Linked DNA regions of Mus musculus: all the other regions are reported to be linked to region 7. Evidence: microRNA targets listed by miRTarBase, many of them from high-throughput screens and not tested one by one. Region 7 holds a microRNA gene; each other region holds the end of a gene's coding sequence.
Evidence for each region. Region 7 holds the annotated microRNA mmu-miR-3097-3p (CUCAGACCUUUCUACCUGUCAG, at 1,187-1,208, shown strand). A microRNA usually pairs through its seed, bases 2 to 8, with sites in the 3' UTR of a target mRNA and lowers its output. Matches are read on the target gene's strand: a 7mer-m8 pairs with bases 2 to 8, a 7mer-A1 pairs with bases 2 to 7 and ends in A, and an 8mer does both.

Region 1 (4,066 bases), not on the chromosome of region 7:
ATGGGGGTGAGCCAGACCCCTGAAACACATGACCTAAGAGTGATATGTAAATAGGATCAAGGTCTTCACGCTATATTAGCATCTGGAATGGCCCCTCTAGGCCCATGTACTGTCTTCTGTGATGTTAGTAGAGGTGTAGAGCCTTTAAGGTGGAGGGACCTAGGTGAGAGGTTTTCATATCACTGGGGGCGGGAGAGGGGCTTGACTAGGTAGGCGTGGGGCTGCATCTCTTCTCTTTCTAATCCCCCAGATCTGAGGGGAATCGTTTGCTCTATGATACATTTCCACCGCGGTGTGCTATACCATCCAGGCCTAAAAATCCGTGTCCCCACCCATCCACCCTCTGCTCTCTGTGAGCTGCTCATCTCTGGTATTTGCTGTGCTAATGGAAACACACTGTTCTCTCCCCCAGCCCCCAGCATGGGGAAACAGAAAGGATTAACTAGGTAACTGTGTAGGGCTTACTAAGACAACCACTGCCCAGGCTGGGCATGAGCCACGGGCCTGGTCACCTGTTGCCTTCCTTCTTAGTTTACATAGTTCTAACTAAAAGCAGACACAAAAAGGCCAGTCATTCTTTTACAAAATATTCAGCTATCCTTTTGCATATCATTTTATTCTACCAATGAGCAGAAGTTCTGAAGACCGGAGGTACACTTGAAATATGTGGGTTGGTAAATTCAAAACTCGGTGGCAGAGTAAGTGATTAGCTTGTGGGTTCAGTCCCCAAGATATAGAAATAGTTAAGTGATTCGGAACCCCCCCCCATTGAATTACTTAATCGTCTTCATTTCTAAAAGCATGGTAGCACATATTTTAGAATGTCTTACCAATATTTCAGAAACTTAAAACTAAGAATTATACTTTGTCAATTTGCAGTCAAAATACCGATGACCATAAAAAAAGAAAAGAAAAAAAATGACTATTAACATGTCTGAGTGCCTGTCTTGGATGGAGGGGCAGTTAAGAGAGAAGCATTTGTGACACAGAAGGGAACAGTGACTTTAGTTGAGAACTCTAGAAGCTTTCTAAAGGTATCAAGATCTTAGTAAATAAGGTCGGGAGGAGGGCTGACGAGTCTTCATCAGCCTGAGGATGAAATTGTAGATGGAAATAATAGATGGAGAAAATTCGAAGTGCTTCCTAAAAACAGAAAGCATTAATTCCTGACAGAGTTGTTCTAAATATCTGTACTGATTAGCACCAACATTTTGTATTCTTAGTGCTTTTTAAGCCCAGGTCCTCATGCACCTGTCTCCTGCTCCACCAGGCGGCGCGCTGGTCCTCCGGATGCGGTTGGCCAGATCGGCCTGGAGTTTGAGGTCCCGTCATTCTCTGTATAAACAAGTTACGTTCAAGTGTTTAGGATATAAATTACGACCATGCCGGCTGCCTTGGAAGGAATGTAAACACAGCACTGTGGTCGGAGCAAACTCTGCGACTGACTTCATAATTTATAGCAGGCCCCCCTGAGTAACTCAGAATAAAAGACAAAAAGGATGGGGGGGTGTAGAAAAAAACTATGTAAATGCAAATATGATAATGCAGAAACAAAAGTGTTTAATTCCGTAGTTAAAAAAATACAGAAGAGAGCCTAAGGGCTAGGAATATAGCTAAGAGTTTTGAAACTAGATGTTTTATTCAGGAGAACACCTCAGAATCAAGATTCCTTGAGATAGGGGGGAAAATATCCTCTCCAGAGTTAACAGTAAGTGCCTGGTGGTGGATTGGAAGGGAAGAGAGTTTAACAAAAAACAAAAAACAAAAATCCATCCCTGAGCAGAGACAAAAATTACTGCAACATGATTAAAAGTGACTATTGCTCTGCCCCCAGCACATGGGTGTTCTGAGTGGGAAATAAATCTGCCGCCTGGTTGGACTATTTTCCCATTTCAATCCCATGTCCTACAAGTTCTGTGGGTAGCATTCAGGGTTAGAAAACCTGGCAAGAAGTTGTGCAATCCCATGGGAGGTGTGTGTGTGTGTGTGTGTGTGTGTGTGTGTGTGTGTGTGTTGGGGGCAATTTAAATCCCCTTTGATCTGACCATCACCCAAAGCAGCCTGCAGCCTAGATGGGATGTGGAGGCTCTGGGAGGTGGTTCTTTACTCTGCCCTAGCATCTGGTACTGGTGGGAGAGAGGAAGGAGCAAAAGGGCAGAGCTCTTGGGCACAGGAAAGGAAACAAAGAGGGCGCAGAACTTAAGCTTCCTCAGATCAAACCCCTTGGCTTTCCATATCTTGCCTGCTTTTGTTGTTTTTATTTATTTATTTTTATTTCTTTGGTGTTTTGTTTTTTAAGTTCCTTTCACCTTCTGGTTTTTGTTTGGCTAGAAAAAGTGAGAGTGAACTAGAGAAAGAAATTTAAAAAAAAGTGCCCTCTCTACTGAGAAGACCCACCATCAGGACTGGACTGGCTCATTCAAAACAGAGACCTCACATCACGTCAGTTATACAACCTGGGGGTGGGCAGCCTAGAGCTGCAACTGTCACCGTGGGGTGTGGCCACAACAGGGTGCCTGCAGAGGAAAGGGTCCCTAGAACAACTACTTGTTATACACATTTTATTGAAAAAAAAAAAACCTTACATCAAAATATCTTGGCAAACTGTCAAAGTATACATAAGTGCAAATATACCCTCCTTTTACAATACAAGCGAAGTGTGAGTATACGAAGATCATAAAAATACTTTAAAAATACGGTGGTAGAAAAACAACCTTGTAAAAATGTACTGTCACAATACTGAGAGCCACTTTCTTAAACTAGACTATCGGTTCTTCATTTCTTCACAATGTTCTTTGGCACCTGTATCCGAAGAAGGGAGTGTTGGGGGACTGGGAGTGGGTGGAAGAAATGTCCTACTGAGCCAGGGAACTAGAGAAGGCTTTCTTGAAATTGTGTGCTTTTAGCACTGCAATTTTGAAAAGCACACACACACACACACACACACACACACACACACACCTCCCTTTTCAGACCCTGATTAGTGAATGCAATGGCCACCCCAGAACTGAAAAGTTTTATGTCCTCCACACAGTAACATATGTCTTACATGTAGTCACCTCCTCTGTCTGTCGCTCTTCTGGGATATTAGCTTTCGAAAGGTTTCCTCTTCCAGGGGCCGGGCAAATATCGGTGAGCAGAACTCCCTTGGGTATTTGTCTAAGTGATGGGTGTGCTACTTACTGCTATTCGCTATCCAGCGTGCACAGTGTGAGTCCGTTGCAGTTCCTGGCTGCCCCTCTCGGAGGGGAGAGGAGAAGAAGGCAGAAGAGGGAGAGCAGAGTGGCCTTCAAGGCCTCTGTCCATTCACATAACACAGGGCTTAATATCTTGGCACACGCTCTGGTGATGATGGTGATAATAAGAGCCACTAGCGGAAGGGTGGAAAGAAGAAATGCCATTGAAATTGAGGACGAAATCTTTCCTGTCGCACACTGGAGTGGAGTGGTGCTGGTAACGGGGCAGTCCGACTGAAAGAAGAAAGAAAAAAAATCTTTTCAGTGAAAGTCACCCAGCTGATGGTGGGGTGTATTAGTTCGAAATTTCCCATTAATTTGTGTTATTTTTGACTGAGGGTGTAAAGGCAGCTGGTGGCCTTAGGGTGTATGGCTATAAAACCAATAGGACGCATCTCGGAGCGCCTTGGAGACCCAAAGGCCTGCCCTGCTTTGGTTTTAAATACCCTTTCTTGAGAGGCAAGTGGGAATTCAAGAACGCCTTGAGAGGTAATCTGTTCGTGGATTCCCACATCCCTCTCTTGTGCTGGGAGACCTCTCTGCCAGGCCTGGATCCAGGCTGAGCTCGGCACACGCACGCTGACACTTTGCGCCATCGCCTCTGTTTTTGTACCTAATTTTTCTGTCTCAAGAAGTCGGGATGGGGTGGGGGTGTGCTACCCCCTTCATCCACACAGGATGACAAAGAAAATACCTTAGAGAAGAAGGGGTCTGAGAAGGGGGAGAGAAGAGGGCAGCCCCCTCCCAACCACAGGCAGCAGGCATCTTCTAGATTTCGAACCCTGGCCTTGGATAGGCCAAGAGGTGCTCTTTAGTCATGGTATCTAGCC
Region 2 (4,066 bases), not on the chromosome of region 7:
TTTAGAACATCAGTTCCTCAAAGTAAAGAACAATGTCCTTTTGGATGTAGTTTCTCTAGACAATCTGAGTAATAGGCACTACTGGGCTAGTCAGGCCTTTGGCCAACACTTAACTGAAAAGTCAGAGTATAATTTAGTGGGAAAGTACCTGCCTAACATCTGTAAAGCCCTAGCACAGAGGAGAAAGAAAAAGAATCCACGAATAAGTAAATACACCTTCAGTTTTAAAGGCAGGTGAGTGGAACTTGCCAGTAGTTTTAGTTACTTGGCGGGTTCAGGCAGAAGATTCATTTGAGCTCAAATAGATGGGGCTAGCCTGGGCAACTTAGGAAGAACCAGTGTGTGAAGACAGCTAATGGGGCTGGAGAGATGGCTCAGCAGATAAAAGCACTGACTGCTCTTCCATAGGACCCATTTTCTATTCCCAGCACCCATGTGGCAGCTTACAATTAACTCCAAGATCTGACACCATCACATACTGACATACAAGCAGACAAAACACTAATGTACATAAAAAAAGATAGCTGGTATGCTGGCTCATGCTTATAATCCTAGCACCTAGGGGGCCAACACAGGAGGACTGCCATGAGATCCAGTGCAGGCAAGGCTACAGGAACATTAAAAACTGAAAATATCTTACAAGTAATTTTTGGGCAGTGCTAGGCAAGTGCTCTACTGCAAAGCTAACACGTAACAACTCTCACATGGCCTAAGCACTAACACAGGTAATATGTAAATAGAACTTGAGGCCAAACTATGACGGAGTGGGTCTCAAAATGCCCTCATGTGTGTCCTTTCACATGCACCACAAAGACTACCTCTTCACTTAGAACCTTCAAATCTTGTTGGAAATGCTTAAAGCCTGGTAAAGCTGGAGCCTGTCCCCTCCACAGACTACTGAACTTATATTTAGGGATCCTCTGAGGCTGATTCACAATGTGGGCTCATCAGACCTCTTCAAGCCCTAGGTCAGGCTTGGTTTTATTTTTCTGTGACTTACTGAGTCTGTTGGGCGCTGAGCTACAGAATAAGTCTGACACTGCTAGGAAGGCTGAGAAATTATCAGTGAAATAAATTTCTAAGATGCATTTGTGAATATCAGTTTTATTTTTCCTCATTGATGTAATAGACAGCTTCCTTTAACATCAAATTTTTACACAACAGCCAGGAAGCAAAACCAGCTCTGAAGAAGTGAAACATGCAAGATGACAATGATTTTAATTATTTTTAAAAGCATAGGAAATGGACCATTCAGGGGCAGTCATGGCATAGGAACTATAGCAACTAGATTTTACAGCGGGACACAGAGATTGGACCTAATTGACTCCAATTAGACAAGTGGATATTTATAATTGAGGGGTAGTGGTGAGATTTATACTGGAAAATTACTGAGTAGAAACTTAAAAAAAAAAAAGGGGTTCTAACTTAATGTGACAGGACTCACTATGACAAAATTTTGCCAAACCAGTATAGGGATTTTATCCATCTGAGTTTTTAAGACATGATTTTGTTAGGTAAGTCTGGCTAGTCTGGAATTCAGTATATAGCCAGACTGGCCTTATAGTAATCCTTCTGCCTCAGCACTCTTGAGTGCTGAAATCACAGACATATGCTAACTTTAGCAGTTTAAGAAGTCTGCAAGATAAAATATTCTACTTAGTTCTGTCCTTGTATTTTTTTAGGTTTGGTAGAAAAGCTTTTTATCTTGTTGGATATATTATTTAAATTATGGGGAGGAACATAGAAGCACAGAGTATTAGGAGAGTTTTAGGTATTATTAATAAGCTAGTTGGTCCCACCCCAAGAAACATATTTGGTTTTTGATTATATAATGGCTAGCGACACATGCTTATTATCTCTGCTTATAAAGGTGGAGGCCTACTACATGGTCTTAGCTACTAATTGTCAGCCATGACATAAAGAGGATCCAGGGTAAACAGAATGACAGACCAGCCACCAGTAGCTGAATGCCACCGAGGCAAGGCAAGGCAAGACAACCCTAGGTTTGCACCCATGAGTGACACAGCTTCTTCAGGATTCTATCAGGTGCTTCCAACACACTAAACAATAAACATCTTTCCTTGTACTTTCTTTCCTCTGTAAGGTCCTGAGCACCTACAAGACAGAGTGACAGCTGAAGAGGAAACAGGTTCTGTCATGATTTATTAGGGTACACTTTTTTTTAAGGTTTATTATATGTAAGTACACTGTTGCTGTCTTCAGACACTCCAGAAGAGGGAGTCAGATCTCATTAGGGATGGTTGTGAGCCACCAAGTGGTCGCTGCATTTGAACTCAGGACTTTTGGAAGAGCAGTCAGTGCTCTTAACCGCTGAGCCATCTCTCCAGCCCCTACGGTACACTTTCAAGAAGACAAAAGTAATGCCTTTCAGAAAAGTGAACACTTTAGAATGTATCTATGAAATATTCAGACTTGGACAGCCAAAGCTACGCAGAGAAACTTTTTGAAATACAAACCAAATTCTGTGGGACTAGCTGTGTAGCTTGATGACAGGGTGCTTGCCTCGCATGTGCAAGGTGGGTTTAAGCTCCCACACCATACATACACACACACCCAGAGAAAGTGCACCAGCACTTGGGTTCCTTCTTGGCACAAGGTCAGAGAGAAGGTAAAAACAGGGTTTCATGTATCCCAGGCATTCACTCCAGAAGTTTTAAAAAAAGACTAAATTAATGACAAATAAGTTGTACTTTGTCAGTGATCTGAGTGCAAGCAATAGCAAGGACTAGAAATTACCAGGAGGGAACAAAGCAAACCAAAAACCAGAAAGGGGAATTAAACCCAGGGTTTTCCCACAGAGCTGTTATCTCCAGCCCTTTAATTCTGAGACAAGATCTGACTGACCTTGAATTTGTGATTGTCATGGTTTAGACTCCAAAGTGCTGGGATTGCAGGCATCTACCACCAAGTCTGCCTAGAAAGAAGATACTTTTATGGAGGAAAATAATCTGAATGTCTCTGAAATATTAAAGGAGTATAAGAAATTAATTTAAATAACAGTTTGATTCATTTCTTGTTATTTCGTTGGTTGGTTTTGTAGCACTGGGGAATTAAACCCAGGGCCTTATTCGTGCTAGGCGAGCACTCTACCACTGAGCTACAGCCTTAGCCCTAAAATGATTAATTTCAAATCTTTTTTTGTTTGTTTGTTTTTGGTTTTTCCAGACAGGGTTTCTCTGTGTAGCCCTGGCTGTCCTGGAACTCACTCTGTAGACCAGACTAGCCTCAAACTCAGAAATCTGCCTGACTCCCCCAAGTGCTGGGACTAAACGTGTGCGCCACCACACCCAGCTAATTTCAAATCTTTAATGTAAATATACTTGGGCTCAATTTATAATTAAAAGAAAAAAAAATCCCACTAAGCAAAACAAAAGCATCTGAAGATACTACAGAAGATTCCTGTTTGCCTGTCCTTACTCTCTCACCCTTCACCGGCCCTCTCCTCTGTGTCTGAGAACATTTAATAACACCCCATTAAATCTATGCCACAAATACAGTTGATTCCACCCACAGTCGATGAATGTTCTCAGATTGTAAGCCATACAAATACACTAGGGGACAGACAATAAACGATGCAGATGGTCTAAGGAGCAAAGAACTTGTGCAGAACAGGAAACAAAATGGAAATCCACCTGGGTCAGAGGTAAAGGGTGAACTCCTTTTGCTGAGTGAGGCTCAGATTCCCCAATGGGCCTTTGCTTGTCCACTTGAGTTCAAGTTGAGAAATGTCTCTTTTCTTCATTAACCAAACATGCCCAGGTACAGCTGTTTCTCCTTCCTATGGTAGCTGCTGAGTTCTGACTGCGTCAACTGGAGGTACCGCCGAACATTGGCATCTTCAAAGACAATAGAGGTTTACAGACAGACCATAATGACACAAATGGACCACAGAGCATTGTTAACACTCCTAGTTATTTTAGTTCTCCAAACTCTGAATGTATCACAACTATTCCATATAATAGTAAATTCTATTATTTATTTATTTATTTATTTATTTATTTATTTATTTGGAGACAGGGTTTCTCTGTGTAGCCCTGGCTGTCCT
Region 3 (4,066 bases), not on the chromosome of region 7:
TTGAAGAAATGTCTTAAACTGTAGGGAAAAAAAAATTTCAGATTCTACTGAAGATTTCCTCTGGAGCATCTGCTCTGACCAATAGGAACCTGCAGGGCTCTGAGGCTCTGAAGAGGCTGCCATTCCCCTGAGGGCTCTGAATGGGAGGAGGCTGCAGTGTGGGCATGTTCGCTCAGTGACTTAGCAGTACTGGCTGCTGTACTGCTCATGTGCGGAGGAGTTTCAGCCGTCAGAAGTGACCGTGTCTTCTGTTTGCAGGCATCCAGCTCAGCGAGTACTTGCCAGAGGTGACGGACCTACTGCGAGCAGAGCAGCTGGGAAGCCTCAAGTCCAACTCTTACTTTGAGTTTGTTCTGAAAGCAAATTATGAGTATTATGTCCAAGGACAGATGTGACATTTGTAGAAATGGTTGTTTCTAAAATTTGTGTAAATATTTGCTTATTAAAAAAAAATATTGAGGCCAAAAAACTTAGGTCTGGATCAACCTGAAGTCTGTTTTGTCTGCAGCAACCAGGTTTTCTATGCTTTATATGGGAGCCGCGATATAAAAGGAGGGGCCCTGATGCTCTTTTTCAGCTGTAAGGTATTTCCTCCTCCTCTTCCACCTGAAGTCACCCTTGCTTCTGTGTAGCTGCCCTTCTCCAGCCTCCCTCGGTCCAAAGAGGCAGCAAAACAAAACAGGTTGCCTCGCTCCCCAACTGGTTGTCCAATACCAGCCCTGAAAAAATATAAGAATGTGTATAATAATATACATGAATTTACATGCAAGTAACGTTCTATGGGCTGAGCAAGTGTGTCTGTTTATTTGGGTCAGCAATTAAAAGATGCTACAGGTTGGAGAGCAGGGCAGCGGAAGTGAGGAAGTGTTGGAGATGGCAGGGGACGGGGAAAACAGATTGCCCTCTGCATGTGGCACTCTGGGAGTCTCTGAGAAGCTGATCTCTTGGTCGGAGGCAAAGGGAAGTGCCTGCTTAGCAAAGTGAAGATGAGATGTCACTGATTTATACTGTGGCCTAGAAACCAAAACCCTGGGTCTAACTCGGGAGGGTGGGCAGCTGGTAACTCACTGGGAATGTTCTCACTTCCTACATTGATTTAAAAATTACAAGCAAGGGGCAGGGCTGGAGAGATGGCTCAGTGGTTAAGAGCGCTGTCTACTCTTCCAGAGGACTTGAATTCAATTCCCAGCAACCACATGGTGGCTCACTACCATCTGTAATAGGTCCCAGGGCCCTCTTCTGGTGTGTCTGAAGACAGTGACAGTGTACTCACATATATAAAATAAATCTTTTTTAAAAAAAAAGTTAAAACTTAAAAGCCAAAAAAGCCATATATATATGTGTGTGTGTGTGTGTGTGTGTGTGTGTGTGTGTGTGTGTGTGTGTGTAAAATTAAAGGATTAAAAGTGTGGGCCACTGCATCCATCAATAATGGATAAGTCTTAAAGTGTTTTAGTAAGATGTTTGTGTGGCTTTCTGAGCTGTCAGTAAGTTGTCATTGCTACCAGATATGGTACTGGCATTGTCTGTGACCCCAGTATTGACTCATAAACCTAGGATGGTTTCTAGTCTCACCGTAGACGGTCCCTTCCTAAACATCGTAATGCCAAGGCTGGTCTACCCAGAGATGTTGCTCTGAGAGCTCTGGCCATGGCCTACCTGTCTGAAGAAGGGGGCTAAACCTTTATGGCAACTATCGCAGCTTCAGAATGGTTGGCATGTAAACTTACTCCAGCAGTAAAAATGAAATTAAGACTTTCAGTGTTGAATATCTTTCCCTCCTAAGTTTTAAAAACTGGTCACATAATCCATCTCTGAAGAATGAATGATTTGTTTCTAAGTCAGGTAGCTAAGACTGTCTCCTGGTACCCGGTGTACATTCTTGGGATCCTTCTCTTGTTGGCCTATCCGTTAGTTCAGCATGAACTAGTTAGGACTGTGAATGGCAGCAGCCACCCTTGTCCCTGAGGTGAGTGTGCTGTATTCTGAGGATGTGTGAGTCAGTCAGGACCTGAAAGGGCCCTGGCAACCTGTACAGAGCACAGGGGGAAAGGTTTTGTTGTTTTATTCTCTTGACTGGATGCTATGGGGAGAGCCAGAGGTCTGCAAGACAAATTCATGGTGTTTCGGGCTGTCATGGTTGGTCCCACATTCTGAGTGTTCCCAGTGTGGCCTCCCCCACCACTGCCAGTCTGTCCTCAGAATGGCATAATATTCATGTATAAAATACAATATATGTTGAAAAACAATGTGTATATATGTTGTATATATTTATCATATGTGTATGATATGTGCATATAAACTCTGGCTGGCCTCAAACTCTCAGCCCCTGTGCCTCAGCTTCCCAAGTCCTAAAACTGCAAGTGTACACACCAGCCCTGGCTAGAACAATTTTTTTAAGGCGTGTGAAGCCTGACATTGAGCTCATATCCAAAATAAACACAAGTAACTGGTGGACCTGGAAGCTGGGCTTCTGTTTTGAAATGAGCTTCAGTCGACCACCTTTTGTATTGTGTGGGCAATGGTGAGTACTTAGCACACCTTTGGACTTCTGTTCTCAGAGGAGCTCCAGTTTTCCTTCTCCTGCTGGGATGGCAGGTCCTTGCATGCATCTGCATTGCCTTAATAAAAACGAGGTTTTCTTTTTGTCTGCTTTTCACTTGTAAGAACCAGCTCCTTACGCTCGGCCGCCCAGCCCGAATTCAGTCCCCAGTGTGAGTGGAGAGGGGACCAGCTCCCTCTCCTGTCCTGTCCTGTCCTGTGACACGCGTGCCTTCCCTGTCAGGCTCTGAGGTTCCAGAACTGCTGCTGCAAGAGTTGAAAGGGTAGAGCCGACCTGTGCTGCTGCTCACTAGGGAAAGACAGACTGATGCTAATACAAGCCTAGGCTGCAACAGGACTGAGGGATTGCCGTGCTGCCTGTTAGTTGTCCTGTTTGCTTCTGGTAGATACCGCAAGGACTTACAGGATGTGAGGGGTAAAGGGGCAAAGGGGGGGGGGGGGAGATTAAGAAGAGGTGTGGGTGTGTCGCATGGTGGCGTAAGTGCCCTGCACACAAGCATTTAAGGGCCCAGCAAGAAGACAGCCGGCGAGAACCTAGCCGGGATTCCAGAGAAAAACTGTCAGGAAAGGAAAGGGTGCAGCTGAACCTAGAGTTTACCTGCCTACTCACCTGCCTGCTGCTGCGCCAGGTGTGGGGCCGCAGGTTTCCTGTAGTTCGCAAACCACTGCGTTCAAGGTCCACTTTATGCTGTCACGCAAAGCTGAGAAATCTGCATAGTGGGATAAGCAAGAGCTTTCGAGAGTCTGGGGCGGTATGTACAGCCCGGCCCGATGAGGTCCAGTCACCTGGACAATTCTCCCTACATCCATGCCCCAAATGTAAGCACCCCCAAAGCTGACCATAGTCTGCATTTGCTGCTTGCTTCTTTTTAACAGTTCCAGGTCCTGGCCCAGGGCACAGGCAAAGCCACAGAGCTGATGCCCGTTAGGCAGTGCAGCTCAGGTTTAGGAAGAGCTGTGTGGGATCCTGAAATCGCTTCATGGAGCCTCTGCTCTCAGAGGCTCTGCACCTGTCCCAGCTGCTAAGTTCCACTCCAAATGGGAACAGCTATTTTGGGAGCGCTTAAGCCATCAGAAAAGTGAATGGCTCCATGGTGGCTTGGCTCTGATGCACACCCCTCAAAGCATGTCGCCTGTTTGGTCACAGAACACTTTTCCTTTGGGCTTTCTTATCCCTCTCCCTGCCCAAATTGAGACAGGCGCCAAGAGATGACCTCTACTCACCCCCATCCCAGCTTCCATAAGTTGCTCCTTCTAGAAACCCAAAAGCAGATTCCCATCTATCAGCGGTATAAATAGAACCCACACAAGCCTGGCAGGTGGTGGCCCCAAGGTGCATGGGAAGCAGCCGGGCTGACGGGCATCATCCTCTAAATATAAAGATGAGTCTGCCTGGGAGGGGCCGCTCCTGGGCACCAGTGTAAGGTCTTAGTGCTCCTTAGAAGGTATATCTTCATCAGCACCTCTCTCTGCCTCAGCCCCCTCTAGGTCCCAACAGTTCCAG
Region 4 (4,053 bases), not on the chromosome of region 7:
ATGGTATACCTACATAACACAGAAAGCAAGGATGGACATTTTATTCTTATAAAGAGGGTCTTAAAGATTCTTTGTAATGTGGGAGGTTTGCCAAGATCTCAGCTGATGACAGTAGCCACAGAGAGCAATAAATGCTTGCACAATCAACATTTGTGTTTGGTAGTATAGACACTGTGCCGGCTAGTTTTATGTCTGCTTGAGACAAGCTAGAGTCATCAGAAAAAGGAGGCTCAACTGAGAAAATGCCTCTATTAGGCTGTAGGCAAGCCTGGGAAGGCCCTGCCCATTGTGGGCGGTGCCACCCTTGAGGGAGTGGCACTGCCTTCTAGAAGAAATCAGGTTGAGCAAGCACAGTAAGCAGCGCCCTCTGTGGCCTCACCAGCTTCCACCTCCAGGTTCCCGTCCTGCTTGAGTTCCTGCCCTCACTGTTTTGGGTGATGAATGAACTCTTATATGGAACTGAGTGAAATAAGCCCTTTCCTCTCCAAACTGCATTTGGTCATATTCCATCACAGCGGTAGTAACCCCAAGACAGACTCATCCTTCATGTCGGTATCATCAGATTCGGTCGGGATGGGTGGGCCACACCTTTAATCCCAGCACTAGCTAGCCTGGTCCACATGGTTCCAGCCAGCCAGGACTACACAATGTGATGAGTATTTTTTTAACTTTTTTTTTTTTTAAAGGAAAGATGAGAGTAGTTTAAGCAACAGTTTTGTTTCTGCTGAGAACCATCAAATAATCCTTAGCCCACTTCCCAGGCTTCTCTAATAATTAGGTCACCCAAGCTCTGGTTACGATCTGGGCCGCAGCATCCCCTGGCGCTCACCTCGCTGAAATACGGAAACAGATCCCAGAGAGAAACAGCAGTTTGCTGCCAGGGATCTTAGAGTTTACATTTAAACTTTAGAATAACCTCCCGTGCCAGACAACTCCAGCACTTCAGAACCTGGGGTAAAACGGTAGGGAGTTCCAGGCTAGCCTGAGCTACAGAGCAGGAAGATCACCCTCTGTCTCCCTCCACTTACCATCCATCCCTTCTGCACTGAAACCAGGACAGCTGGTTGGGATTGAGGGGGGGGGGGGGCTGTGACAGACGATTTCCTTATTCCCACTCATTCATTCCAAATTTCATGATCTTTTTGAGTTGGGGTGCTCAGGACAATCTGATTAGAATCCCAAGCCTCATGTTCTCAACTTTTCTGAGAAATGTCTTTAGATTCCCTGGGCTTTGATGAACTCAAAATCAAAAGGATCCTCCTAGCTGTGTCCACAACTCTGCATGGCTCACATGCCCAGGCAGGACCCAAAAGACAGGACCCAAATGACAGGGGGCACCGTGCTTGGCTTCCAGCCCAGGCCACTCTAACACTTGGACTGGGCTTCTTGGCCTCCCTGCTCCTGAACCCCTGAATCCTTCCATAGTGTTCAACTGCCCATCAGTAACAAAATCTTCACCCAGCTTTGCCAGGTCCCACCTAGTTCTCAGACCTTTGTAAAATCTCATTCTAAAGTCAGAGACAGAGGCCAGGGCTTCCAGTACTGCTGGGTGAGCTCTGTAATCCCGGTGCTCTTGTTCATGGGCAGCACTTAACTGTCTGGCTCACCATGTGGCACCATGTAGCATCCTTCCATGGTTTTGGCTTTGTAGCCTTGAGCCTCCCATTCCCTTCTACTCCTATTCCCACCTCTAGATGAAACACTTTGGGATGCCTTCCAATCCTCTTTACCTGTGATACCTGCCTGGCTGTGTCCCCAAAAAGAAGGTCCCTTCTCTGTCTTATTCACACACTGAACCATACCTCCTGTTACTCAAATGCTATGGGCTAAATTGTATCTGTTCCCAAGAGTTAGATGATCTTGTCCTAACCCTTTGTATCTCAAGATGAATATATTTAGAAACAAGGTCTTTTTAAAGATAATTAAGTTTAAAAAAAAAAATGAGGCCACAGGGTGGGCTCTCATCCAGTATGTGGTGACATAAGAAGAGGAAATTGGGACACCTGCAAAACGCAACCATGTGAGGACACAGAGAAATGGCCAGCTGCAGGGGTGGAGATGTGGTTCAGCTGGAAGAGTACCTGCCTAGCATGCATGAAGAACTGTGTTCATCCCCCAGCACTGCAGAAACTGCACAGTGGCAACCCCAACTGCACAGCTGTAACCCCAACACTCAGGAGTTCAAAATCACCCTCAGCTATTTAACAAGACCAGCCTGGAACTACAGGATACCCTTTCTTGAATAAAGGGTATCTATCTACAAACCAATCAACACCTCCAGCAAAGACCAAACTTCCAGAACTGTGGAATAATAAATTCCTGTAAAGCCATCTGAGTGAAGTGCTTTTATTCATTTATTTACCTGTTTGTTTGTTTATTGCTGTGTGTTGGGGGGAGGTGTACATGTATCTGGGTTCGCACTGAAGCCGGGAGAGAGCACTGAATTCCCTGGAGCTGGAGTTACAGTCAGTTTTGAGTCACCCAAATTGGGTGTTGGGAACCAAATTCCAGGCCCCTGTAAGGGCAGGAAACGCTCTTAACTTCTGAGCCATCCAGGCCCTAGGAATAGTTTATAAGTTGACCCTACTGAACAAATATACCTCCATTAAAAACTCTGGTAAATCCTGCAATTAAGAGTCTACAGGCATATCTTAAGGTTGGGTGCGGGGGGTTACTAGGAAGCCGGTGTTAGAGTTTGCTGTATTTTATTTATTTTTTTAAGATTTATTTATTTATCATATGTAAGTACACTGTAACTGTCTTCAGACACACCAGAAGAGGACGTCAGATGTCATTACGGATGGTTGTGAGCCACCATGTGGTTGCTGGGATTTGAACTCAGGACCTTTGGAAGAGCAGTCAGTGCTCTTACCCGCTGAGCCATCTCACCAGCCCCAAGTTTGCTGTATTTTAAATGCTAGCTCTGATTGCTGGAATTGGGGATTCAAGTTCTACTTGCAGTAGCTCCTGGGAGGTTCCGGGGAAGAGTCAGGATTCAGGTCTACTCTATTTCCGTTTCTATTTCTGGTGCTGGAGATGCATCAGTGGGTAAGAGACTAGCTGTTCTCACAGCAGACTCAAGAACCTTCATGGCTTCACACAACCATTTATAACTCTGGTTCCAGGGGATCCCACACCCTATTCTGACCTCTACAGGCACTGATACTTATGATGCATAAACATACATACAAGTGTAACACACAAAATAAAGATAAAGGTTAAAATTTTTCCTATATTTCTAACCTTACAGCCTAAAGAACTCTAGTGACAGTGGGGTTGCAGCCCTGGCAACCCCTAATCTGCACCTCTCTATCTCCTCTGCCAAAATCAGGCCTGGGTTTGGATGGAGGACCCAGCAAGAGAGCCAGTGCCTCCTAAACTTCAAGCCAATACTGACCCTACAGCCCAGGTTCTCAGCGTTAATGAAAGCTACAGATGCTTCTGGGGGCCGGGGAAAGGTTCGGGCAGGACAGTGAAAACGCAGGGGGAGGTCTGGCTCAATACAGCTCCCTCTGGGAAGAAAATGAGGTGAGCCCTGGTGGGAAGACAGAAGGGAAGCGTTTATTTCTCTGGAATAGGAGAGGGCAGAGGCAAGGGGCTGTGTCAGGGCAGGGCCACACCCTCCAGCTTCTGATCCAGTGTCTTGAGGTCATCGAGGAAGCGGGTTGGAGTAAGGATGTGAGAAGAGCCTGGGCAGGAGGGGAAGGTTAAAGGAGGAGGTAGAGTCCCTCCCTCCTGACTCGTGTCCTGGCTGGTGAGAACAAACTCCTGCCCTTCTGCAAACCAGGGCCCTGTCTTCTCAATGATTGAGGGGTTCAGAAACTTAGGAACAGGGGTATCCAGCCCCAGGTGATTACTCCACTGAAGACTCCAGCCCCAGCCTTTCAAAGTCCCCAGATTCCCACCCCCAAGCCCAGAACTTTCATAATCTAATCCTAGCCCTTTAGGGATTCTTTGAGTTCAGCCCCAGCCCCTCAAAGACCAGAGCTCAGTCGCAGGCCCTATAAGGACCTCAGAGCTCAGCCTTAGATCTCAATAGACTACAGAGTCCAG
Region 5 (4,059 bases), not on the chromosome of region 7:
AGCACTCACACATCCTGGACCTGCCTTCCAATTCAAAAGGATAACTGGATGGGAAATGGTATCAATCTGATCCAAGGGATTCTAGGCTTGTAAAGCGCTTTGGTTTTTTTTCCCCCAACACTGCCTTTCTACAATTCCTGGCCAGGTACCAGCTTGTGGTGACCCAGAGGAAGGAGGCAGAGCCTCACAGCAGCAGCATCTATTACCAGAACGACATGCGGAGCCCAGCTACGGTTTTTGCTGACTTCATCAACAATGAAACCCTCTTAGGGGAGGTTGGTGGGTTTAGAGATAATGGGGAAAGCCATCTCTTCCTGATGTCTTGGCTGTCCGGCCTCTGTCCAATACAGGTTATCCCTACTAGGCAGAAATTAGTCACAGCAGTGGCACCCTGCCCAGGTTATTAGATATTCGGTGTAGGAATGTGGCTGGCAGATGCAGAAGCCAGGCTGAGGCTGGAGGCTGGGAAATGGCAGCTAAGAGGTGATTCTTAGCCTCCCATTCTTCTCTTCTCCTACAGGATCTGGTGGCTTGGGTGACAGCCAGTTTCCTGCACATCCCCCATGCTGAGGACATCCCCAACACAGTGACTGTGGGAAACAGAGTGGGCTTCTTGCTCCGACCCTACAATTTCTTCAATGAAGATCCCTCTATCTTCTCCCCTGGCAGCGTGTACTTTGAGAGGGACCAGGATGCCGGGCTCTGCAGCATCAACCCTGTGGCCTGCACCCAACAGCTGGCAGACTGTGTCCCCAACTTACCCTCCTTTTCCTATGAAGGCTTATAGGCCTGAGGCTATGGTGAGGCCCCAGGGTAGGAGGGATGGAATGTGGAGTGGAGAAATGGCTCAGCGATTAAGAGCACTTGACTGTTCTTCCAGAGGTCCTGAGTTCAATTCCCTGCAACCACATGGTGGCTCACAACCATCTGTAATGGGATCTGATGCTCTCTTCTGGTGTGTCTGAAGACAGAGACAGTGTACCCATATACATAAAATAAATCTTTTAAAAAATTTTAAAAAAAGAATGGAATGTACACACTCCTCTGTTCTGTTCCTGAATTTTGTTTTTTGTCTTTTTGTTTTTGTTTTTCAAGACAGGGTCTCTCTGTATAGCCCTGGCTGTCCTGGAACTCACTTTGTAGACCAGGCTGGCCTCAAACTCAGAAATCCGCCTGCCTCTGCCTCCCAAGTGCTGAGATTAAAGGTGTGTGCCACCACCATCTGGCTCTGTTCCTGTATTTTTACCCCACCCCCACCCCCCCACCCCCCGCCCCCAGGTTCCCATCCTCTGTTCCTTAGCAGCCTTTCTGCACTAAAGACCTGGGTATCCCTGTGGGCTAATTCTTGCTTCCTGCCTGTCTTTTGTATCTGTTTCTATTTGAGACAGGGTCTTTCTGTGTGGCCCTGGCTGTCCTGGAACTTGCTATGAGTTCAAGGCTGGCTTTAACTCACAGAGATCTGCCTACCTCTGCCTCCAGACTACTGGGATTAAAGATATACACTACTACCCCTGGCTTCTGCCATTGAAATGATAATTTATAAAAAATGTTTTGGAATACTCAAACGCCACAAGTTCTATCACTTCAAAACTCACTGGTGTTCACAACATCAAATCAGGCTTCTTACGTGTGTGTATCTAAAAGGAGTTACGTGGTTATGTACAAGACGGTCTGCCAAATTTTTATTCGAGTTTATTCTGCTTGGCTTTTTAAAGTATGTAGAACTTTATCCCAGGAGAATATCAAGGACTCTGGCCAAGGAAATTAGTAACAGTAAGAGCCACAAGGCGGGGCTGGGAGGGTAGGTAGACCTGGCCAAGGAATCTTTCTTTGAAAAGAGGCTGGAAGTGGGGGTTTCCTTGGCAGGACAATACTTCACACTGAATGTAAAGGAAACACCCGGCCTTCATAAGGTGGGAGTTGGGGGAGAAGTTAGTCTGTGGGGCAGACCCGGCTACTTTTTGGCAGTGGATTTCCATACACAGACGAGATCCCTCCCCCTTCCCCCAACCCCAGCTCTCCCCCAATCCCAACCCTGACCCAGAGAGCACTCTGATTTGGAAACTGGAGGACAAAGCCATGTAAGGTCTGTGGATATCACTGCAGCCAGCTCAGACCCGCCTCCCAACCCTAGCTCCGGCTTCCCTGCTCCTTCCCACCCTGGCAAAAGCAGACTACAAAGAAGCTCTGCTATTGCCTAGCGCCTGGGAGACCCCAGCCAAAAGGAGTCCATTTCTGGTAGAAGCCTGTCCATCAAGAAGCAATGACCCAGAAGACCACCCTAGTGCTCCTGGCTCTGGCTGTCATCACCATCTTTGCTTTGGTTTGTGTCTTGCTAGCTGGCAGGAGCGGAGATGGGGGTGGACTGAGCCAACCTCTTCATTGCCCCTCTGTTCTTCCTAGTGTCCAGCCCCGGACACACCCTAGCCAGAGCCAGCCGTTTGCAGACCTGAGCCCAGAGGAGCTGACAGCTGTGATGAGCTTCCTGACCAAGCACCTGGGGCCAGGGCTGGTGGATGCAGCCCAGGCTCGACCCTCGGACAACTGTGTCTTCTCAGTAGAGTTGCAGCTGCCTGCCAAGGCTGCAGCCCTGGCCCACTTGGACAGAGGGGGGCCCCCACCTGTGAGAGAGGCATTGGCCATCATCTTCTTTGGTGGACAACCCAAGCCCAACGTGAGTGAGCTGGTGGTGGGGCCCCTGCCTCACCCCTCCTACATGCGGGATGTGACTGTGGAGCGCCACGGCGGCCCCCTGCCCTATTACCGGCGTCCTGTGTTGGACAGAGAGTATCAGGATATCGAGGAGATGATCTTCCACAGAGAGCTGCCCCAAGCTTCTGGACTCCTCCATCACTGTTGCTTCTACAAACACCAGGGACAGAACCTGCTAACAATGACTACAGCCCCCCGTGGTTTGCAATCAGGGGACCGGGCCACCTGGTTTGGCTTGTATTACAATCTCTCAGGGGCTGGGTTTTACCCTCACCCCATTGGCTTGGAGCTTCTGATAGATCATAAGGCCCTGGATCCTGCCCTGTGGACCATCCAGAAGGTATTCTATCAAGGCCGTTACTATGAGAGTCTCACTCAGCTGGAGGACCAGTTTGAGGCTGGCCTGGTGAATGTGGTATTGGTCCCAAACAATGGTACAGGTGGGTCCTGGTCTCTAAAGTCCTCAGTGCCACCGGGCCCAGCTCCCCCTCTGCAGTTCCATCCCCAGGGACCCCGGTTCAGTGTCCAGGGGAGCCAAGTGTCTTCTTCCTTGTGGGCTTTTTCTTTTGGCCTTGGAGCTTTCAGTGGCCCAAGGATCTTTGATATCCGCTTTCAAGGGGAGAGGGTGGCCTATGAAATCAGTGTCCAGGAGGCCATAGCCCTCTACGGTGGAAATTCCCCAGCATCAATGTCGACCTGCTACGTGGACGGTAGCTTTGGCATTGGCAAATACTCTACCCCCCTGATCCGAGGGGTAGACTGTCCTTACCTCGCCACCTATGTGGACTGGCACTTCCTTCTGGAATCTCAGGCCCCCAAGACACTACGTGATGCATTTTGTGTGTTTGAACAGAACCAGGGCCTCCCACTCCGGCGGCACCACTCAGATTTCTACTCCCATTATTTTGGGGGTGTTGTGGGGACGGTGCTTGTGGTCAGATCCGTGTCTACCTTGCTCAATTACGACTACATATGGGACATGGTCTTCCACCCCAATGGGGCCATAGAAGTCAAATTCCACGCCACAGGCTATATCAGCTCAGCTTTCTTCTTCGGTGCTGGTGAGAAGTTTGGGAACCGAGTTGGGGCGCACACGCTGGGCACGGTACACACCCACAGCGCTCACTTCAAAGTGGATCTGGATGTGGCAGGTGAGACATCATTGTAGGTTGCTCACCAAACAAAGATTGGGGTAGGGGGCTATGCTTTCCTTCAGTCTGGCTGGGAAAGGAGGGGCTGCTGAGTTTCATTTGGATCTTAGCTTCCTGCAAAGCTGCCAGACTCTATACATGTGACCTCCTTACAACATCTTGGGAAATGGCTAACCCCGGGGAGAAGGCTAGGTCC
Region 6 (4,066 bases), not on the chromosome of region 7:
GCAGTTTCTAGAACCCCGGGCTTAACCTCACCACACCCCTTGCCAAGTCAGTGATGGAGCCTGAAGTGCCTCCAAGTGGCTAACTGGGTCTATCTGCTCTAGAGCATTCAGGCAGTCCTGAGGATAGGGGTGTCCTGAGGTGGGGAGACCATCCAGGAGGCCCGGCTGTTTTCAGCCAGCCCTGAGCATCCATTTTTCCCCCAGGATGAGCAAAGCCATCACTTCGTGCATCATGGCGCTAGTCTGCGCCATCAACCTGTACTTTGTGATCAGCTACCTGCCCAGCCTCCCGCACCCTGCCTACTTTGGCCTTGTGGCTCTGTTCGCAATAGGTTACTTGGGCCTGACTGCTTATCTGGTACTGGGGTCAGCCACGGGGCAGGGAGGGCAGGAGAGGGAGACACAGGGGGCTTCTGAGGCGCTCTGGCCTCTCCTCAACTCATGGTCCTTCCCCAGGCCTGGACCTGTTGCATCGCCCACGGAGCCACCTTCCTGACCCACAGCTCCCACAAGCACTTCTTATATGGGCTCCCTAACGAGGAGCAGGGAGGCGTGCAGGGTTCCGGGTGACCGCGGCATCCAGCAAGCAAAGAGGCAACAGGGCAGACACAGCAGAGCAATTGGAGGTCCCCTACTGGCTTTCTGGATTACCGGTTTCCAGTTTGGACAAGTGCTTTACCTCGGAATAATGACACCATTCTTATCACCACAACCTAAGAGACTTAAAAAACACAGTGCCTGGGGCGAGAGATGGCTCAGGTGTGAAGAACACTAGCCACCACCCTTTCAGAAGATGGGGATTCAATTCCCAGCATCAACGTGGTGGCTTTCAACTGAAGGTGACTCCAGTTCCCAGAACACCTCAAACAGAACTGCCACAACTCCATTGTCTCACTCCAGCTCGTGGAAGATGAAGGGAGGAGTCCTAAAGAGTTCTAGGTCGGGTCTCTGGAGAGACGGCTCAGCTGTTAAGAGCACCGGACTGCTCTTCCAGAGGTCCTGAGTTCAATTCCCAGCAACCACATGGTGGCTCACAACCATCCATAATGGGATCCCTCTTCTGGTGTGTCTGAAGACAACAACAGTGTCCTCACATATATAAAATAAATAAATCTTAAAAAAAAAATCTTAAAGAGTTCTAGGTTATCCTCCTAAAAAGTGAGTCCAAGCTGGGCAGTGATGGTGCACGCCTTTAATCCCAGCACTTGGGAGGCAGAGGCAGGTGGATTTCTGAGTTCAAGGCCAGCCTGGTCTACAAAGTGAGTTCCAGAACAGCCAGGGCTACACAGAGAAACCCTGTCTCTAAAAAACCCAGTTAATCAATCAATAATAAAATAAACTGAGTTCGAGTCCAACCTGGGCTACCTGAGAGCCTGTCTCAAGAAGGAAGTAAAAAGAAGGAAGGAAAGTGGAGGAGGAGGAGGAGGAGGAGGAGGACGAGGACGAGGAGGACGAGGAGGAGGAGGAGGAGGAGGAGGAGGAGGAGGAGGAGGACCTGACAAACTTGGGGGGAGGAAGAGTCGGACTGGAAGAAACTTAAAAAAATAGAAATCGTCCGATGAACCAAAGGGTAGCTCCCCTCTGTTCCAAAGCGCTAGAAAATCTAAACGCCAAAACCCGAACCCTCCAAATGACTGTACGGAAACCTATTTTCCAGAGAGTAAAACCTAGAAAGTGCTCCTTCTCTGTCAGGAGCCAGACCATAAAGAACCCAAAAGTCTGTGCCTCAAGGCCCAATTCATTTGCCATCTCCCCAGGGAACTGGGCTGACCTGACTCCCACGCTGCGCTATTAGGGTTCCCTGTACTTCACTCTCAGCTCCCCCTAGGGGCAGGGACTCTCCCGGGCGCCCACACTCCGGCCTAGGCCCTGTCCTCCTTCAAGGGCAAGCGGGACACAGGTGAGAGGAGGGTGCTTTCTCCCAGGGCCGCAGAAGCCACCTCCGCGCCCGGGTAGGGAGTAGCGGTGTGGGCGGGGAACCCCCTCCTCCGCAGTCAGCGTCCCGGAACCCTTCGCCCTGTGTAGACCTAGCACATTGCAGACGCTCCCTAGGCAGTTTCTAGGCTCCCCTAAGTCCCTCCTCCTGACTCCTCCGGTTCCTTGCACTGTAGCCTAGAACAGCCCAGAGCCGCACGGGGGAAGGGGTGACCGGGGAGCCTTTTCCCAGGGTAGAGCCTGGGGGAGGTTCTCTGTCTGAAAGCAGCTCCTATTACCCGGAACCCAGCTGGGAAGGCTGTGGACTGGCCGCTCAGAGTGGGGCGCTTGTTTATGAAAAGAATTTCCTCTTTCTTAAAAGGGCAATGAAAAGAGTGGGCCCAAAAGGAGTGGCTAAGGGAGAGGTCTGGGTGCCTGAGCAAGAAAGAGTACCTCCCCTCGCCTTGGTGCCTGCTGCTGGAGAAGATGGGATCCGAGATAATAAAGGGGTAGGGGGCTGGCAAAGAAAGCATCTCCAGATTCCCCTCTAATTTCTCCCGTGTCCCCCAACTTGGTGGACATTCAAGCGATTCACTTGGCACTAATTGGGTGCTTTATTTATTTTTCATTTATTTTTTAATTTTTTCTGTGATAAGCCCTGGGTTAGAAGTGGAAGAGAGGTAAAAGTCCCGAATTAAAGAGGATGTCAGCTGTCTGTCCAGGAGCTCTCAGGGCAAGGGGGTGGGAGGGCAAAATGAACTGGCAGGATGACACTGCGAGTTTAAGAAGACCACTGGGCCGAGCGTGGTGGCGCACGCCTTTATTCCCAGCACCCAGGAGGCAGAGACAGGCGGATTTCTGAGTTCGAGGCCAGCCTGGACTACAGAGTGAGTTCCAGGACAGCCAGGGCTGTACAGAGAAACCCTGTCTCGAGCCCCCCGGCCCCTAAAAAAAGAGGAAGACCACTGAGCACAGGATTGTGAACGTTAAATAAGAAAGGGCTGTCAGTGAGTGTGTCCACAATTCTTGGTTCTCAGATGCTGTGGAATGGGGCTGGGGGACCCAGAAGGAGGGAGAAGCTGATCGTATGACTAGTTGTGTTTAGGACTTAGAATTGAGCGCTGAGAAGGTAAGTTTGGCCCAGAACACTTACTGAACACTCACCTCCATAGGACTGAACTTCCCAGCTCCTCTGGCACAAGCTAACATGGCAGCTAACAACAGCCTGGAACCCCAGCTCAGGGGACAGGACACTCTTCAAGCTTCCAAAGGCACCCCAACACTCACTGCATACACTAACACATATACGTAAAAATAAATCTTAGCGACATTGTAGCACACTCCTTAATATCAGCGCTCTGGAGACAGAAGCAGGTGGATCTCTGTGCACTGGAGGCAAGCCAGCTCCGGCTAAGTAGTAGTTTCAGTCCAGCAAAGGCTACATAATGAGGCTTGCTCAAAATTAATAATAAATACAACAACAACAGCAATAATAAATCTTAGGGTCAGCAAGATGGCTCAGTATGTCAGGATACCAGTCACCATTCCCAAAGACCAGAGTTCTGTCCTTGGGACACACATGGGTGGATTCTCTAGCTCCACACATGTTTTGTGACACATGCTCACACACACAAAAATAATGATTTAACCCACACCACACCACAGGGTTTCTCTGTGTAGCCCTGGCTGCCCTGGAACTCACTTTGTAGAAGAGACTGGCCTTGAACTCAGACATCTGCCAGCCTCTGCCTCTGCCTCTGGAGTGTTGGAATTCAGCCAACCTGTCTGACTTACCAAGGCCCAAGATCAGGGATAAGGTTGGCCATTTCCAGCCAGGGGCCGGCACTTAGTGCTCCTCCATCCCCGTGGCGGCCCTAAAGACCTCAGCCCCAAAACTCAAATTGAATTTAAGGAAAGAGGCCTACCTTAGGGTTTCACCAGTCAGTCCTCGCATACCTGCTTCCGGGGAGCCAGCTGAGGGCGTCCTACCAGACCTCCCGTCCAGTCCATCCACAAGCAGGAAACTGAGGTGGTGAAGGGAAGGACCCTTGTCTCAGGTGCCCCAGAGTATCCTGCTTAGTCCCGGATAGCAGTCCACACCATTGTTTTTCTTGGGGATGAGTATTAAAATAATAATCATCTTAGGGGCTGG
Region 7 (4,066 bases):
TTGTATGACATCATCCTAGCTGGAGCTTCTTCAAAATTCTTGGAAATGCATGCTGACAAATACAGCTCTTAAGGATCCAGAAGTAGGGATGGAGCTGTGAAAGAGTGATTACGAGCAGCACGTGATAATAGTGTCAGTGATATGATGTCATATTTTATATGCTAACCAGAGACTAAAAATATATTTCTTTAAAAAAAAAAAAAAAGATGACCAGCCCTTGAGAAAAGAGCTGTGAGGCAGATGGCCCGCCCACTCACGTGTGCTGCGCAGCCCCTATGCCTGCTTTCAAGGCCCCTGCGAGGCTCCTTTCCTGCCATGGTGTAGACAAAGAGGGCCGGGGATATGGGGCTCAGCTTCATAGAGGGGTTGTGGAGTGACAACTGCTCTCCTTCCTGTGTTCCCTCAGGATTTTCTACGTAAGGAATTCAGTGAAGAGAACATTTTATTCTGGCAGGCCTGTGAGTGCTTCAGTCATGTTCCTGCACATGACAAAAAAGAGGTAAACTGCTCTTCAGAGCAGGGGCTGTGTGAGGACCGAGGTTACATCAAGGGTTGCTTGAGCAGTCGATGAGGGATGCTTCTTACTGACTTTAAAGAACGGTGACATTTCTGCTTCAGCATAAAAACTTAAGTGTGTGACATTTAATTCTGCCTAAACATAGTCTGCATAAATGCCTCGCCACAGAGCCTGGCAGTGGTGGCACTTGACGTTGGGTTGGGTAAGAAGGAACAGTGTTTGAAGAGACTTGGAGAAGCACTCTGGCAAACTGCAGCCTCTACCTGTGGCTTAACAGCACCTGTCTAGCTGCCCCAGGACTGCCCAGGCCATGTCCTGTGGCCTTTCCCCCAAAGTAACAGCTGTCCTCACAGAGTGGCCTCATGCCTGTGTCTTGTGCTCTGAGCATTGTGCACTTTTGCCCTCCCCTGTCGTGCACACTTTGCTGGCAGATCCTCCTCTGAGGCCCTTACAAAGCAGCCATTTAGAAATTTGCAGCCATTTAGAAATTTGTAGAGGAGCCGATTCAGGAGTTTCCTCCTGGCTCTTTCTTTTATATTTACTTTCATAAGCCAGACTATAGACAGGGCCTGTGACTCAGCTCTCCAGCCCCGAAGCAGAGTCAGCCTTAGGAATGTTTGAGTGACACAGGTGGGAAGTGTGTGTCCAGTGGGTGTGTCTACAGATCTGCTCAGACCTTTCTACCTGTCAGCTCTCTTACAGGGCCCGGGAGATTTTCAGTAAATTCCTGTGCAGCAAAGCCACCACTCCTGTCAACATTGACAGCCAGGCCCAGCTGGCAGATGACATTCTCAATGCACCCCACCCTGACATGTTCAAGGAACAACAGCTCCAGGTGACTTTGCAGACAGTCTTCCATGGGGCTTCCAGCCAAGGCTTGGGGGTGCAGAGTCACTCAGAGTAGCACGTGCCCTTCTGGGAAGGGGGCTGCTGGTCATGTGGGCATGGTGACAAGCCCATCTGACCACTGGGCTCCAGTCTCAAAAGGATTCAGTAGATCTGAGGAACAATAAAGCCTTTGCCACAGATAGCCCCATGTACCCACTGTCAACCGAAGTAAGGGACAATATTACTTTTCAAAAGTCTATGGGGCTGGTGAGACTGCTCAGCAGATAAAGGCTCTTGCCGCCAAACCTGACAACCTGAGTTTGATCATTGGGACCCACATAGTGAAAGGAGAGAATCAACTTCTATAAGTTGTACTCTTTAGACACGGACCATGGTGGGTGTACAACACACACACACACACTCTCTCTCTCTCTCTCTCTCTCTCACTAAATAAGTAAATGAATAAATAAGTATAAAAAAATTGTATGCACATTGGACACACTTGACCTACAGAACATGACAGCTACAGCGTGGCCACAACAGCACATTATGGAAGGTCAGTGGTCTTTGATGATTGCAGGGCTGACTCTGAGCAAGTTCGGTGTCACTTCCAGCATTTGAGAGCGGATGATAACTGCATTATCCCAGCCCAGAGAAAGCTTTCTATGAGCACACGTCGCTGCCACACTAGTGTACATCCAGAATGCTGTGGACCTGTCTGTATACTTACATGTTTACGTGCTTAGTAGCAGTAGCAGCAATTGTCATTTGAGACAGGATCTCACTGTGTAATTTCACCACCATTGACATGAAGCTCACATACTCGTGCCTCAGCCTCTGCCGGATCACAGGATGCACATGGAACCCTGTTTACATGTTTGTGTCTTAATTCTGGAAGAGCATGTGATCTGACCCGTCCAGAACACACTTCCCAGCCCTGCCAGCTGCTGTGCCGCTAGGTTGCAGGAATTAGCTTAAAACAGAGCAGAGCTTCCCCAGGCCTCACTTACCCTTGAGACAACTGCCTTCCAAGTTCCTAGGAAGTGAAGGCCTGCTAAGGGTGCAGCCACAGTCTTGAGTCTGCCTGCCCTTCTGGCTGTGCCTATGCCTATGACTCTGCTCTTACTAAGAGTGACAAAGGAGAGGCTGTTGACAGGGATCAGAAGGGTCCCTGGAGAGTTAATTAACATCTGAGTGCCCTGGGGCCCAAGGGAGGGTTGGCAGGAATGACACCCTTCCAAAATGTCACTCATTCATGGGTACAGACCTCCTATACCGCCTAGGACCTAAGGAGTTACCGTTCTTTCTGTGACTATACTGCATGGCATCTGCTCCACAGATTTTCAACCTGATGAAGTTTGATAGCTACACTCGCTTTCTGAAATCCCAGCTGTACCAAGAATGCGTCCTGGCAGAGGTGGAGGGACGTACCCTCCCGGACTCTCAGCAGGTCCCCAGCAGCCCAGCTTCCAAGCACAGCATCAGCTCTGACCACTCCAATGTGTCCACACCAAAAAAGGTGCTGGGCTAGCCCTTGTGGGGGTGAGAGTAAGGCTGTAACCACACATCCTGTCACCAGCAGAAGGTGGGGCCTGTAGGACACAGATACTCCTGAACCCTTTCCTGATCCCCTAACCCCTGGCTACCTCGGTGGTGAAAGAGAGGACTGTGCCCTTGACCCACTGAAGATTCTACCTGATTCCTCAGAATCCTTACTCATAGAGCTCTGTGTTGAGCCCCTTTAGTGTCTTAACTGATGTTTCTATTTGGTGACAGTTAAGTGGAAAATCAAAATCAGGACGATCCCTGAATGAAGATGTTGGGGAGGAGGATAGTGAGAAAAAACGCAGAGGGGCCTTTTTCTCTTGGTCAAGGAGCAGGAGCACGGGGCGGTCCCAGAAGAAGAAGGACCATGGTGACCATGCCCATGGTATGTGAATGCAGACCATGCTGTTGTGGGCGGGAGCTGGACTGCTGTGGTAACGTGAGAGGCCATGGTGGGCAGGCAGAGATACAGCGGAGTTATCTGGAGGGATGAAGAAATGTCACAGATCCTGGGAATCCAGCAGAGTTGGGGATGAGCCAGCCTAGGAAGCAGGCCTGCTCCAGAACCTTCTGGAAACTCCTTGATGCAGCGTGTCTGGCTGACTGGGCTCCTTTTCTTCTTGCTATGAAAGTTGCAGGTGCTTCAGTAGGAAACTTGGAAAACAGAATCAAGCAAAGAGAAACAAACACAAATGTGCTGTCCCCGTAGCCAGGCACAGCTTCTTGCCTGTGCCAATGCATGTGCGTCAGCCATTGTGTTGGTGGATGGGGACTTGGAGATGGGGTGTGCGTCCCATGGAGGCCTCCCATACCTGGCAGACTTGCAGTCATCTGGAGAGGGCTGCAGCAGAGCTCAGATACTCTGTCTGCCTGGTACAGGGTCTACAGATGCCCGAGAAGGTACTTGTTCAGAGTAGGTCACTGGATCCAGGAGCCTGAGTGTCAGACTTGGGGTAAAACAGTGTTTAGGCCCTTACATCGTATGTAGGCTGGCCTAGATCATGGTTAGAACAATTAATGACTTGGACTATTGGCTATGAATGGGATTTGTGAGGAAGAAGATGGAAAATGGGTTACTAGTAAAATGAGTAGCCAGCTGGTCACAGGGACAGGCTTCTTCAGACCCAAAATAGCACTTTGAGATAGAAATCATGGCTCAAATAAGACATGTCCACC

Region 1: the mRNA of Foxf2 is a reported target of mmu-miR-3097-3p. Seed matches in the 3' UTR shown: 8mer at 2,969-2,976.
Region 2: miRTarBase lists Ttc9c as a target of mmu-miR-3097-3p. Seed matches in the 3' UTR shown: 7mer-A1 at 2,427-2,433 and 7mer-A1 at 2,219-2,225.
Region 3: miRTarBase lists Nup133 as a target of mmu-miR-3097-3p. Seed matches in the 3' UTR shown: 7mer-A1 at 1,247-1,253 and 7mer-A1 at 1,662-1,668.
Region 4: miRTarBase lists Stxbp2 as a target of mmu-miR-3097-3p. Seed matches in the 3' UTR shown: 7mer-A1 at 2,762-2,768.
Region 5: miRTarBase lists Aoc2 as a target of mmu-miR-3097-3p. Seed matches in the 3' UTR shown: 7mer-A1 at 960-966.
Region 6: the mRNA of Slc11a1 is a reported target of mmu-miR-3097-3p. Seed matches in the 3' UTR shown: 7mer-A1 at 1,068-1,074.

What each region holds. Positions count from the first base shown.
Region 1 is chr13:31,629,886-31,633,951 of GRCm38, reverse strand. Foxf2 (forkhead box F2) reads right to left here. Exons shown (of 2, transcript NM_010225.2): 2 at 2,546-3,470. The coding sequence ends at 3,307. Among named protein-coding and RNA genes, the nearest start is that of Foxf2, 6.1 kb to the right of the region's middle.
Region 2 is chr19:8,807,982-8,812,047 of GRCm38, forward strand. It overlaps Ttc9c (tetratricopeptide repeat domain 9C), which reads right to left. Exons shown (of 4, transcript NM_027412.3): 4 at 1,094-3,857. The coding sequence ends at 3,763. Among named protein-coding and RNA genes, the nearest start is that of Zbtb3, 7.5 kb to the left of the region's middle.
Region 3 is chr8:123,895,703-123,899,768 of GRCm38, reverse strand. Nup133 (nucleoporin 133) reads left to right here. Exons shown (of 26, transcript NM_172288.2): 26 at 259-2,646. The coding sequence ends at 395. It overlaps Gm29773 (a long non-coding RNA gene), which reads right to left. Exons shown (of 3, transcript XR_879336.3): 1 at 3,403-4,066; 2 at 3,173-3,272; 3 at 633-719. Among named protein-coding and RNA genes, the nearest start is that of Gm29773, 3.0 kb to the right of the region's middle.
Region 4 is chr8:3,642,282-3,646,334 of GRCm38, reverse strand. Stxbp2 (syntaxin binding protein 2) reads right to left here. Exons shown (of 19, transcript NM_011503.5): 19 at 2,337-3,689. The coding sequence ends at 3,604. Among named protein-coding and RNA genes, the nearest start is that of Retn, 11 kb to the left of the region's middle.
Region 5 is chr11:101,328,677-101,332,735 of GRCm38, forward strand. Aoc2 (amine oxidase, copper containing 2 (retina-specific)) reads left to right here. Exons shown (of 4, transcript NM_178932.1): 3 at 146-275; 4 at 521-1,023. The coding sequence ends at 787. Aoc3 (amine oxidase, copper containing 3) reads left to right here and starts at 1,930. Exons shown (of 4, transcript NM_009675.2): 1 at 1,930-3,863. The coding sequence starts at 2,264.
Region 6 is chr1:74,384,937-74,389,002 of GRCm38, forward strand. It overlaps Slc11a1 (solute carrier family 11 (proton-coupled divalent metal ion transporters), member 1), which reads left to right. Exons shown (of 15, transcript NM_013612.2): 14 at 205-358; 15 at 457-1,115. The coding sequence ends at 570. Among named protein-coding and RNA genes, the nearest start is that of Ctdsp1, 4.6 kb to the right of the region's middle.
Region 7 is chr5:35,019,908-35,023,973 of GRCm38, forward strand. It overlaps Mir3097 (microRNA 3097), which reads left to right and starts at 1,142; the gene lies at 1,142-1,208. It overlaps Rgs12 (regulator of G-protein signaling 12), which reads left to right. Exons shown (of 17, transcript NM_173402.2): 6 at 407-499; 7 at 1,209-1,352; 8 at 2,685-2,864; 9 at 3,122-3,275.